Linked DNA regions of Bombyx mori. The main gene of each other region encodes a partner of the protein of the gene in region 2 in a complex. Links are inferred from orthologs where the notes say so. Each region holds a gene or a part of one and is shown on either strand. Other genes may lie near its edges.

Region 1 (3,760 bases), on a different chromosome or scaffold from region 2:
TATTGGTGCCAAACCTGCGTTGCTTGCCAGCGAAGTAAGGTGACGCGGCATATAAAATCTCCACTTGGACACTTCTCCAGTCCTACGTCTCGACTGAAGCATGTCCATATTGACATCATAGGCCCTCTTCCATCTTGTTCTGACTTCCAATACTGCCTGACTGCTGTGGATCGCTACACTCGATGGCCCGAAGTTTGGCCTATGCACGGAATAACAGCAGAAGAAGTGGCGAGCACCTTTGTAGCCGGTTGGATTGCTCGATTCGGAGTACCTGCTGTCATCACTACCGACCAGGGACGACAGTTCGAGTCGGACCTTTTCAGACGCCTTACTAATTTATGTGGTACTAAACGTATACGCACTACTAGTTACCACCCTTGTGCCAATGGGCTCGTGGAGCGCATGCATAGACAATTAAAGGCCTCTCTGATGTGTTATGATGATTCGTGGTTGAATGCATTACCTTTGGTCTTATTAGGAATGCGTTCGGCTTTTAAAGAAGATCTACAAGCAACAGTAGCGGAATTGCTTTACGGAGAAACATTAACGCTTCCAGGGGAACTGTTAGTACCTCCCGGTCCTTCTGGCTTCGAGGACCCGACGGATTTTGTCGTAAAGTTAAGACAGCGTATGTCTAAATTGCGTCCCACTCCATGTTCCTCACACACTAAACCATCACCTTTCATATTTAAAAATCTTTCCACCGCCTCTCATGTAATGCTCAGGGAGGATTCGGTTAGACGTTCAATGCAACCACCTTACTCTGGTCCTCATAGAGTTATATCTAGAGCCGAGGACGGAAAAACGTGGTCGATTGATGTAAAAGGGAAACAGGTGACGGTCAGTGTCGACAGAATTAAGCCAGCTTTCGTCGAGCATTCTTTAGTAGATCTCGTTCCAGCACCAGCACCGCGGGTTTCTGTGCCTCAACCAGCGCAACCGGATGCTACTAATGTCCCTTCATGTCCACTCGTGCCTTCGGCACCTCTAACTGCTACTCCTACGCATACACCTCAATATACCACCCGATCAGGTCGCAGAGTCCACTTCTCCAAACCTTTCGACCTATGATATTTTTTTCTCTTTTTCTGCGGATTCTCCTTCTCCGTAGGGGGGTGGTGTGGCGTTTTATTATGCGTAAGCCGGAACGCACGAGATGTGGGAAAAAGAATATAGTCTGTGACAATACCTTTTTACCGCCAAAATATGAAAAACAAAAATAATTTATAATGTGATAATAACCAATTTAATGTAATTACTTTATGCCGCTACAACAATAAAATTTATATTGTTCCAACTGTGGTGTTAATTACATAAAACACAACCAGGCGAAATAAAGAAGGGACTCTATATGAACTCCCTCACGTCATTTGTCAAAGATGGTCATATGTCACATGTCAAATTGCTCAAACCGGATTTTAAAGAAACAGGATTTGGAAGTGGAAAATAGACTACATTACAACAGCAATTAAACAAAATACTAATACAATTGATACGTACTTTTAGTGATTGTGTTTAAAAGACGAAAATATGGACCCGGCGCTCTTACGGGAACGGGAAGCGTTTAAAAAGAAGGCACTTGCGACCCCGAGGTCTGTTACATTATTTTTAACTAAACTATTCGCTAGTCCACAACAATGATTGGAGACATACTGGCATCCATCGCACACTTTCTCTGTCACTCACGTAGCCCATACAATTACTATCAATTCACTTCCTTGTGGCAATATTCATTACTGAGTCATTATATAAAGTTATGAATGGAAATATGTGTTTCGAAATACTAAATGAGTAGAAATGTGAACAAATCACTTGTGCAGAGAAAAGTAGAAGATTTAAATGTTAATAAGATATAATATCTTTCCTAATTTAATAGCAGCCAATATTCTAGATAAATATGATCAAGGCACAGGCCCTATTTTTTTAAAGATTATATTGACTGGCATGCCCTAGGTAAATTAGAATACAATGGAAAATGTTTCATTTAATTTAAAGTAATGAATTTTTTCAAAGAATCTGATCAAGCTGACAGCCCACATTATGTTAAGTGATTACCTGAGCCCCTAGATATAATGTGAATGTCACCAATTGTTTTGAAACATGATTTTTATCTAAAATGCTACTTCATCTTATAATCCATTTATGAAAACGTGTTAGAAATGTTTTGCCGTGGAAAAAATTATACAGGTCTATGGTATTTGAATACCAGCATAGTCACACTTGATAAAAGTACACTTTACATGAGCTATAGTTCAACCCATCGAAAGGTTACTGTCAAATTAGAACGAAACAAAATTAATAAAGTATTATTCTTTTCTCTTCAGCATTGAAAAAAAGAAAAGGGATGACTCTGAATTCAAAGATGACAGCAAAAAGAAATCGAAATCATCCAGCTCAGTCAGCTCCGGACCAAAGCTTGATGCTAGTAAGTAAGTAAAGGCTAGGGCAACATAATTAATAATTTAAAATATTCTGTTATCAAAATAACTATTGAATTTACATAGTTACTGTGTTCCGCATAAACAAATATGTGCATCATTTACTAATGCTATTTTCATTAATAAACTAGAAATCACATTTAGTTTTATCTTTTGACTAGGTCAAATTACTATATCAGCAATATCTATTCATGACATCAGTACCATTGCTTCCCATAATTTATTATGCTTTATAGGTAATTTTAATCGCCAATTCTATTAAATAATACTAATAAACTTTTTATAGCAATATCAACTTTTGAATAAAAAAAATTAGAAAAAGCCTTTGGAAAAAAAATTATGAAAAATAAAAAACACAGGATTTATTTGGAATTCGAAAATTTATATTATGATAGCCTTGATACAGGCTATATGTAGCGAGCTTTTTATTGTTAAAAAAATAATTTATCATTTAGTGTATTTGCTAAAATCTTATAAAATATATAAAAAAGAATTGATCATATTTAGTGCTACAATGGATAAAATATTGAGATAGAGCATATAGATACCAGTTCTTTCTCTGTTTGACAACTCTCCCTTTTATTTAATTTAGTAGCTATTAAAGAGCTTTTGTGTTATCAGAAAACAGTTCTAGATTTTTTTTTATATCACTAAGTAACGAAACAAAAGGGAAAATTTAATACTAAATTGAATCTAAACCTTGAGGTGTCAATGATTATGGTCGAATTTAGATCAATAAGCAAACACTAATAATATTATTTTTTGTTATATTATAATTATTGGTTAAATCTGTGATTGATCATCATCCTTTTCAGTTACAAGACTATGACTGGCAGCTCGTCCTATCGCTTTGGTGTGCTAGCGCGTATTGTACGGCATATGAGAGCAAGGCATCAAGATGGAGATGACCATCCACTGTCTTTAGATGAGATTTTAGATGAGACAAATCAATTGGATGTCGGAAATAAAATAAAACAGGTATCTTTTAATAAGTATTGAAATAATAAATAAATTACCTCAATAATAATTACAACAACACACACATTTTCTTATAGCTGATGATAAATGCAATTTTTATTTTATTACTAAGTCTAATGTGCTCACGAACCACCTGGTGTTAAGCAGTTACTGGAGTATATAGACATGAGTTCTAAATCTCACTTTTATATTGCTTATGCTTCAGTAAAGAAATAGGCAGTGTGGTTATATCTACCCCTGCATGCTCACAAGACACCCTATTAACACTAACTGTATCTACATAATGTATAAAAATAATCATGAGTAATTACTTTAGGAAAATGATGGCATTAATTACAGTATTA
Region 2 (3,288 bases):
ACCCAAATACATTCTAGAACAGTTCCTTGAATCGGAACTACTGATTAATATAACCGAACACGAGTTGGTACCGGAACATATTGTGCTGACACCGGATGAAAAGCAAGAACTCTTGGCAAGATAGTATCCTTTACTGACAACGTTTAGAAACTAGAAATAGCAATATTGATAGAAACAACAAAGATAGATTTAAGTTTCGGAAATAAATCATTTGACCTCATGTCTCAGATGAGTGGTGACATTGGGTTGTCTATAGACTCTGATAACGACTTAAAACTAGACGGGCCGTGAGCTACTACTGGTGGTAGGACCTCTTGTGAGTCCGCACGGGTAGGTACCACCGCCCCGCCTATTTCTGCCGTGAAGCAATAATGCGTTTCGGTTTGAAGGGTGGGGCAGCCGTTGTAACTATACTGAGATCTTAGAACTTATATCTCAAGGTGTGTGGCGCTGTAGATGTCTATGGGCTCCAGTAACCACTTAACACCAGGTGGGCTGTGAGCTCGTCCAAACATCTAAGCAATAAAAAATAAAAAAAAGAGCTCGTCAACTTGTTTAGTGAACAAAAAAATGTATTGGCAAATTAATAATGTCCCTTAGTCATTTCAATCTAATATTATTTCACTACTGACTTAATATGTAACTGAGATAGCATTATACATATACTAAAAGATTGGTTCATTTAAATGAAAATTTCCTAAATGAATGACAGTAAGCTGAAAGAGAACATGTTGATGAGAATACAAGCAGGTGACCCTGTGGCGAGATACTTTGGACTTAAAAGAGGACAGGTGAGTCATTTATCATAAATTTCTAAGTACAAACATTTTCATTGATATAAAAAAGGGTGTATATTTTTTTATGTTTACTTCTTTTACAAACTTCATATACATAAATTGCCTTCTTGAGACAAGAGTGTCTAAGCTATATAGTATAACGGTTGACCACCATTCAAACCGAAACGTATTAACGAAGGGTAGGGCAGCCGTTGTACTGTACAAACTGAGACCATAGAACTCATATCTCAAGGTAAAGCCTTGTTCGGACTAGGCGAGTATTTTAGTCGAGTACCGAGTAATTTAGTAGCTAAATGTGTCTCAACACCAAAAATTTAGTCGAGTAGGTTAGTAAATAATTTAGTCAAGTCAATCCATTTTGTTCTATTTTTATCGGGTGAGTAGCAAGTAGTTTAGCCACTAAATTACTCGGTACTCGACTAAAATACTCGCTTAGTGCGAACAAGGCTTTAGTGACGGCATTTACGCTGTGGATGTCTATGCGCCACTTAACATCAGATAGGCCGTAAGCTCGTCCACCCACCTAAGAAATTAAAAAAATGGTTCGCGGCATAAATAGACAGGGCGGTGGTACCTACTTGAAGGAAGACTCGAAATTCATATAATCGTATTTTTAAATTCAGAATAAAAAGAAAGCAGAAAACAACAAAGCTATTAAATTGTTGTAATGTTATCAGCTCTTGGAAGAGTGTGATATATTTCAATATTGAAATTGGCGGATCTCATATTACAAAGATTTTGCTACACACATTTTCCTTTTTCTAGTCATTGGATTAAAATGATGTCTAAATAATTTTGGTCACTGATAATAAAAGTTTATAGTCATATAATCATAATAAAAAATACTTAAGTGATCTTTGTTGGAATTATTGTCAAAAATAGAAGTAAATAACAAATAATAATAAAAAAAAATATCGGTTAAAAAAAACAAAACCTATGTCAGTTAGACCCTTCATTTTAGGGTTTTTTTTTCTTGATAATTTTACGTATATTTATTGAAGGCATGTATGTATAGGTACCCTGTAAGTCAGCGGTTCATATTGATAACAATGATACTTGTTACTAAAGAATCAATTAAGTGAAGTTACACAATTTTGGCGTGTTTTATGGTCACGATCGTTACTTGAATTCGATTTGTTAGGCTCCCGGTTTTCGTGCAAGCTTTGTATGTTAATTTGAATTTAAGCCTCATTGGATACACCGCGTCGGTTACGCTGCCGCATATTTCGAATCACTTACCTTACTTTGGCTGAGTACGTCAGAATTCAAATCGAGTATAAGAATATCTAAAGCACAATTTTTTTTTGTTTCTGTTACCCATAGACACAGCCCACTGAGTTTCTCGCCGGATGTTCTCAGTGGGTCGCGTTTCCGATCCGGTGGTAGATTTTTTTTTTATTTTTTTTTTATTGCTTAGATGGGTGGACGAGCTCACAGCCCACCTGATGTTAAGTGGTTACTGGAGCCCATAGACATCCACAACGTAAATGCGCCACCCACCTTGAGATACAAGTTCTAAGGTCTCAAGTATAGTAACGACGGCTGCCCCACCCTTCAAACCGAAACGCATTACTGCTTCACGGCAGAAATAGGCAGGGTGGTGGTACCCACCCGCGCGGACTTACAAGAGGTCCTACCACCGAAGCACTGCTCTTGCTTAGGGCCAGTGTTAGCAACACTCCGGTTTGAACCCCGTGAGCTCACCTACATGTTAGTGTGAAGCTGAAACAGCCTCTCAAGGCTATCAGCATAGGCAGGAGAAAAAAATAATCAAAAGTGATAAAACGTTTTCGACATTTTTTTGTTTGTTGTAGATCAAGCGATAATAATAAAAATTAAACGCGATACTTTATTACAGGTGGTGAAGATCATAAGATCATCGGAAACAGCCGGGCGGTACATTTCGTATAGATTAGTTTGTTAATTTAGCAATAAGATAAAAATAAAAATAAGGGAACAAAATCTACATACCTAATAAGTTGTTTTATTTTATTACTTATCTATACTAATATATAAATCTATAGTGGTTTTTACGGATGTTCAGTTATAACTACTGAACCATGCATCCGATTGACTTGAAACTTGGTATCCGTGTAGAAAATACATGTACTTAATGGATAGGCTAATATATGAGTGTTGGACTCCCTACACCAGTTGCGGTGGCGTTAATGATGAGAATCTTTGTGGGGATGAGAAATAATAATGTTAATTTTAAATGCCCAGCGAAGCGGGTACAGCTAGTACAATTATATGACTACATAATTAATAAGTGAACATTTTTGTGCTCAAGTTTGATTTTAGAATAAGTTAAAGAAATACCCAACTTTAGTGACTTCGCTAATAAATAAATAAATAAGTTACCATGATCATATTATTTGTGTTCGCATATTGTTAATTCGAATGATTTGAAAATTGCATACTTGATGCAGTAAATAGATGATAGCACTTCAAGGTCGTAAAGCTTCGGTTTTTTCTCCGTATTTAATCATTG
Region 3 (3,760 bases), on a different chromosome or scaffold from region 2:
ACACAAAATTCTATAAAATGTTAGCATTGCGTGAATATTACTTATATACATCTATACCGATATCATAAAGAGGAAAGATTTGATTGTTTGTTTGTATTGAATAGGCTCCGAAACTACTGAACCGATTTGATGATAGAATAAAACCGAAAACTATTTATGATAGAATAAAATAATGTACTACGACTTTGTAGAACACATTAATATTTACAGTGTTTTTGCAGTATAACTATTATAGTTATGCCACAGTAAGTGTTCTTTTATTTAAAAAAATAAAACTACGTCAATTATCGTTTACAGAGAAGCTCTGACTTAATAAACTTAATGGCTTTTGTTTTGTATGTATTACATTATCTTTTTACGAAAATTAGAAATATAATAATAAAAAAAGAGATAAAAAATCATATAGAATTTTTTTTTTAATTAAAATAATAGTATTCAAACTATATTTATAGATAATTTTCTTTTTTTAGTAACTCAGGGCAAATAGAAGAGTAGATGACGTGTGTGTGCTATAATTTTTTAATTTTGAAATTTTTGTTAATTTTCAAATGATTATGCAAAGTTTTCGCTGCATTCGTGGTTTTCCAAGCTGTGTCGGTTTTTTAACAGACATGAAACCGCGCGAACCGCGATCCTTCGCGTAGTCTCCCACACATTCGTGTGACCAGTTGCGCCCAGGATAGCGAAGGCAACGGACGTTTCGCTATTTTCATAGATCGTGACGTCCAGGTACTGTGTAGCGTATCTTAATCAAAAGAAATCCCATAAAAACAGCATGGCTGTTAATGATGTCTGGGAAAGAATTCAAAACTCTTTTTCTCTTCAATATTCTATTGACGAATTAAAAAGGAGGAGAAATTCGTGAGACATTCGTAAACAAGTGTAGGAGGAAGCGCAAACGGGTTCGCAAATTGAGTACCGAACCCATTTGCACAGCCGCTAAGTTTGCGAATGAATGTTTGACGGCCCTTCACATGCGCGCAAACATTCGTACAATGTACGAATATTTGCGCGCATGTGAGTGGCCGGCATTATGTGCTGTAGTCTGTAAGAAGCGTATACCTAATCTATGGTCTGTAGCATAGATTATAAACTTAATATATTGTCTGTACAGTGTAGTTTGTATAATGTATGGTGTAGTTTAAAAAGTAAGTTTGCTCAAGTTTGCTGTTGGAGTACTAAAAAGAAAATACAAAGTAACGTCTACTGTTTAAAAGAGTAAAGCTGCTTTCAACATGAAAATTGAAGAAGTGAAAAGCACAGCTAAAACGCAAAGGATCTCTGCTCACAGTCATATAAAAGGCTTGGGGTTGGATGAAAATGGTGTTCCTATTCAAATGGCAGCCGGTCTCGTGGGTCAAGAGTCTGCACGTGAGGTATACAATAAAATTTCCAAAAAAATTGCCGATAAATTTACACTCGAAATTGTATAAGTTTTATTAGATCAACCTCGTAGAGCAGAAGTTCGAGAAAAATAATTTGAGGTTATCAATGTTTGGTTGCTATGGAATTATTGATCAATGGTAATTGGAGGCAATATGACAATATACATAACAAAATGTTGAATTGTAGGATTAGGTAGTTTAGTAATAGTAATTCAATGTAATCTTAAGCAACCTAACACATTTAATACAATCTAATTTTTATTTATCATTTACTGTCCAATGACCACAAAATTACAGGTATTTTTATTGCATCTATACAAATACATTTTTTTTTGTAAACTATTTTTTATTAATTTTAAAAATTGTAGGCTGCAGGGATAGTTGTAGATATGATAAGAAGTAAGAAAATGGCCGGGCGAGCTTTACTCTTGGCAGGGCCTCCTGGTACTGGCAAAACTGCTATAGCTCTTGCCATCGCTCAGGAACTTGGAACTAAGGTAAGTTCTTACTTAAGTCTGACAATATAAACTTGGGCTGTCACCTTCTTATTTTCATATCTAAAATGAGTGTTTTTTTATTATTATTTTTATTGCTTAGATGTGTGGACGAGCTCACAGCCCACCGGGTGTTAAGTGGTTACTGGAGCCCATAGACATCTACAACGTAAATGCGCCACACACCTAAAGTTCTATGGTCTCAGTATAGTTACAACGGCTGCCCCACCCTTCAAACCAAAACGCATTACTGCTTCACGGCAAAAATAGGCGGGGTGGTGGTACCTACCCGTGCGGACTCACAAAAGGACCTACCACCAGTAATTACGCAAATTATAATTTTGCGGGTTTGATTTTTATTACACAATGTTATTCCTTCATCGTGGAAGTCAATCGTGAACATTTGTTAATTACGTATTTCATTAGAAAAATTGGTACCCGCCTGCGTGATTCGAACACCGGTGCATCGCTAGATACGAATGCACCGGACGTCTTATCCTTTAGGCCACGACGACTTCTCTTTAAAAGTCTTTTTATTGACAATCTCAATGGCATCGGTTTAGAGCATACTGACCATAGTGTGACTGACCATGTGTTAACATTTTACTGACCGATTATGGTGGAAGCAGCCACTTAAGACTTCCTATTCGCACACTTTTTAGATAGAGGTTAGGAAACAGCTACTAAGAAAATAGTAAATTCCAGTGAACAAGAACTGTTGAAAGAATGATTAATAGGCTCCTATTAATATACATTGGCATTAGAAAATTAATGAATATGCTAAACAGTACATTACATATAATAAACTTATCATAGTTTCCTCAGTGTCCTTAGCTAGAAGTATATGAATAGAAATATCATCATCATCAATTTGTCATAAAACAAGCATAAAAACATTTGAAAATGTTCATCATTACAGGTTCCTTTCTGTCCAATGGTTGGTAGTGAAGTTTACAGCACAGAGATCAAGAAAACAGAGGTATTAATGGAGAATTTTCGACGTGCTATAGGCCTGCGTATACGTGAAACCAAAGAAGTATATGAGGGTGAAGTAACTGAGTTAACACCTGTTGAAACAGAAAATCCTGCTGGAGGTAACTATAGCAAAATTATTCTTTTATTCTTTTATATATTAATATGGACTTAAGAGGGTCTGAATTAAATGTTTTTTTTTTTTTTTTTTTTATATTGATATAAGAAGGTCTAAGGGTCTAAATAGGGTCTCTAGATAGCTAAAGCCAAAGTGGATATAATCTACTATGATTGAACTTAAAATGAAATTAATTGACAGATATTGGCTATAGTCAGTTTGTATTTTAAGAACAGCAATTTAAATTGAAGGTTGGGAGTCCGTTGCACATTCAGTAAAATGATAAGTTTGTCTAAACCTTAACTACAACTACTCTTAGCACAGTTTGTAGGCAGTGGGTTGGCTTTCCCCTTGACATGAAGCTTTGAAATTGGTCAAAAATTTGATACCAAAGTTCATAATATTAGTTTTGATTTTTTGTGTGGATCTATCATGCAATGAATAATCTTGCTTCAATTACTGTAAAATTTTGACTTGACTTGCTCTGACTTGATTCTTTGGCTTATATCTGCTTTACCTAATATTTTTGATATCTTCTTTTTTTAAGGCTATGGAAAAACAGTATCTCATGTGATCATAGGACTAAAAACGGCCAAGGGTACCAAACAACTTAAACTTGATCCAACTATATATGAATCGTTACAAAAGGAAAAGGTTGAAGTTGGGGATGTCATTTACATTGAAGCTAATTCGGGGGCAGTGAAGAGACAGGGTAGGAGTGATACTTTTGCTACTGAATTTGACCTTGAGGTATGTACATGGTGCATTTAAATTTAGTTGTAGTGGTACTT

Evidence for each region.
Region 1: DNA-directed RNA polymerases I, II, and III subunit RPABC1 (region 2) and general transcription factor IIE subunit 2 share a complex: the UniProt entries of both Homo sapiens proteins name them as parts of the TBP-based Pol II pre-initiation complex. The link is inferred for Bombyx mori from reciprocal best matches to the Homo sapiens genes POLR2E and GTF2E2.
Region 3: DNA-directed RNA polymerases I, II, and III subunit RPABC1 (region 2) and ruvB-like helicase 1 share a complex: the UniProt entries of both Homo sapiens proteins name them as parts of the PAQosome complex. The link is inferred for Bombyx mori from reciprocal best matches to the Homo sapiens genes POLR2E and RUVBL1.

What each region holds. Positions count from the first base shown.
Region 1 is NC_085118.1:15,266,861-15,270,620, forward strand, and holds the start of general transcription factor IIE subunit 2, read left to right. Parts: upstream 1-1,386; 5' UTR 1,387-1,530; coding exon 1,531-1,592; exon of another isoform or gene 1,593-1,596; intron 1,597-2,324; coding exon 2,325-2,429; intron 2,430-3,253; coding exon 3,254-3,416; intron 3,417-3,760. UniProt on the Homo sapiens protein: Recruits TFIIH to the initiation complex and stimulates the RNA polymerase II C-terminal domain kinase and DNA-dependent ATPase activities of TFIIH. Both TFIIH and TFIIE are required for promoter clearance by RNA polymerase.
Region 2 is NC_085125.1:6,615,494-6,618,781, forward strand, and holds the end of DNA-directed RNA polymerases I, II, and III subunit RPABC1, read left to right. Parts: coding exon 1-123; intron 124-712; coding exon 713-791; intron 792-2,655; coding exon 2,656-2,721; 3' UTR 2,722-2,772; downstream 2,773-3,288. UniProt on the Homo sapiens protein: DNA-dependent RNA polymerase catalyzes the transcription of DNA into RNA using the four ribonucleoside triphosphates as substrates.
Region 3 is NC_085128.1:12,885,973-12,889,732, reverse strand, and holds the start of ruvB-like helicase 1, read left to right. Parts: upstream 1-864; 5' UTR 865-1,235; coding exon 1,236-1,376; intron 1,377-1,753; coding exon 1,754-1,882; intron 1,883-2,798; coding exon 2,799-2,973; intron 2,974-3,516; coding exon 3,517-3,719; intron 3,720-3,760. UniProt on the Homo sapiens protein: Possesses single-stranded DNA-stimulated ATPase and ATP-dependent DNA helicase (3' to 5') activity; hexamerization is thought to be critical for ATP hydrolysis and adjacent subunits in the ring-like structure contribute to the ATPase activity.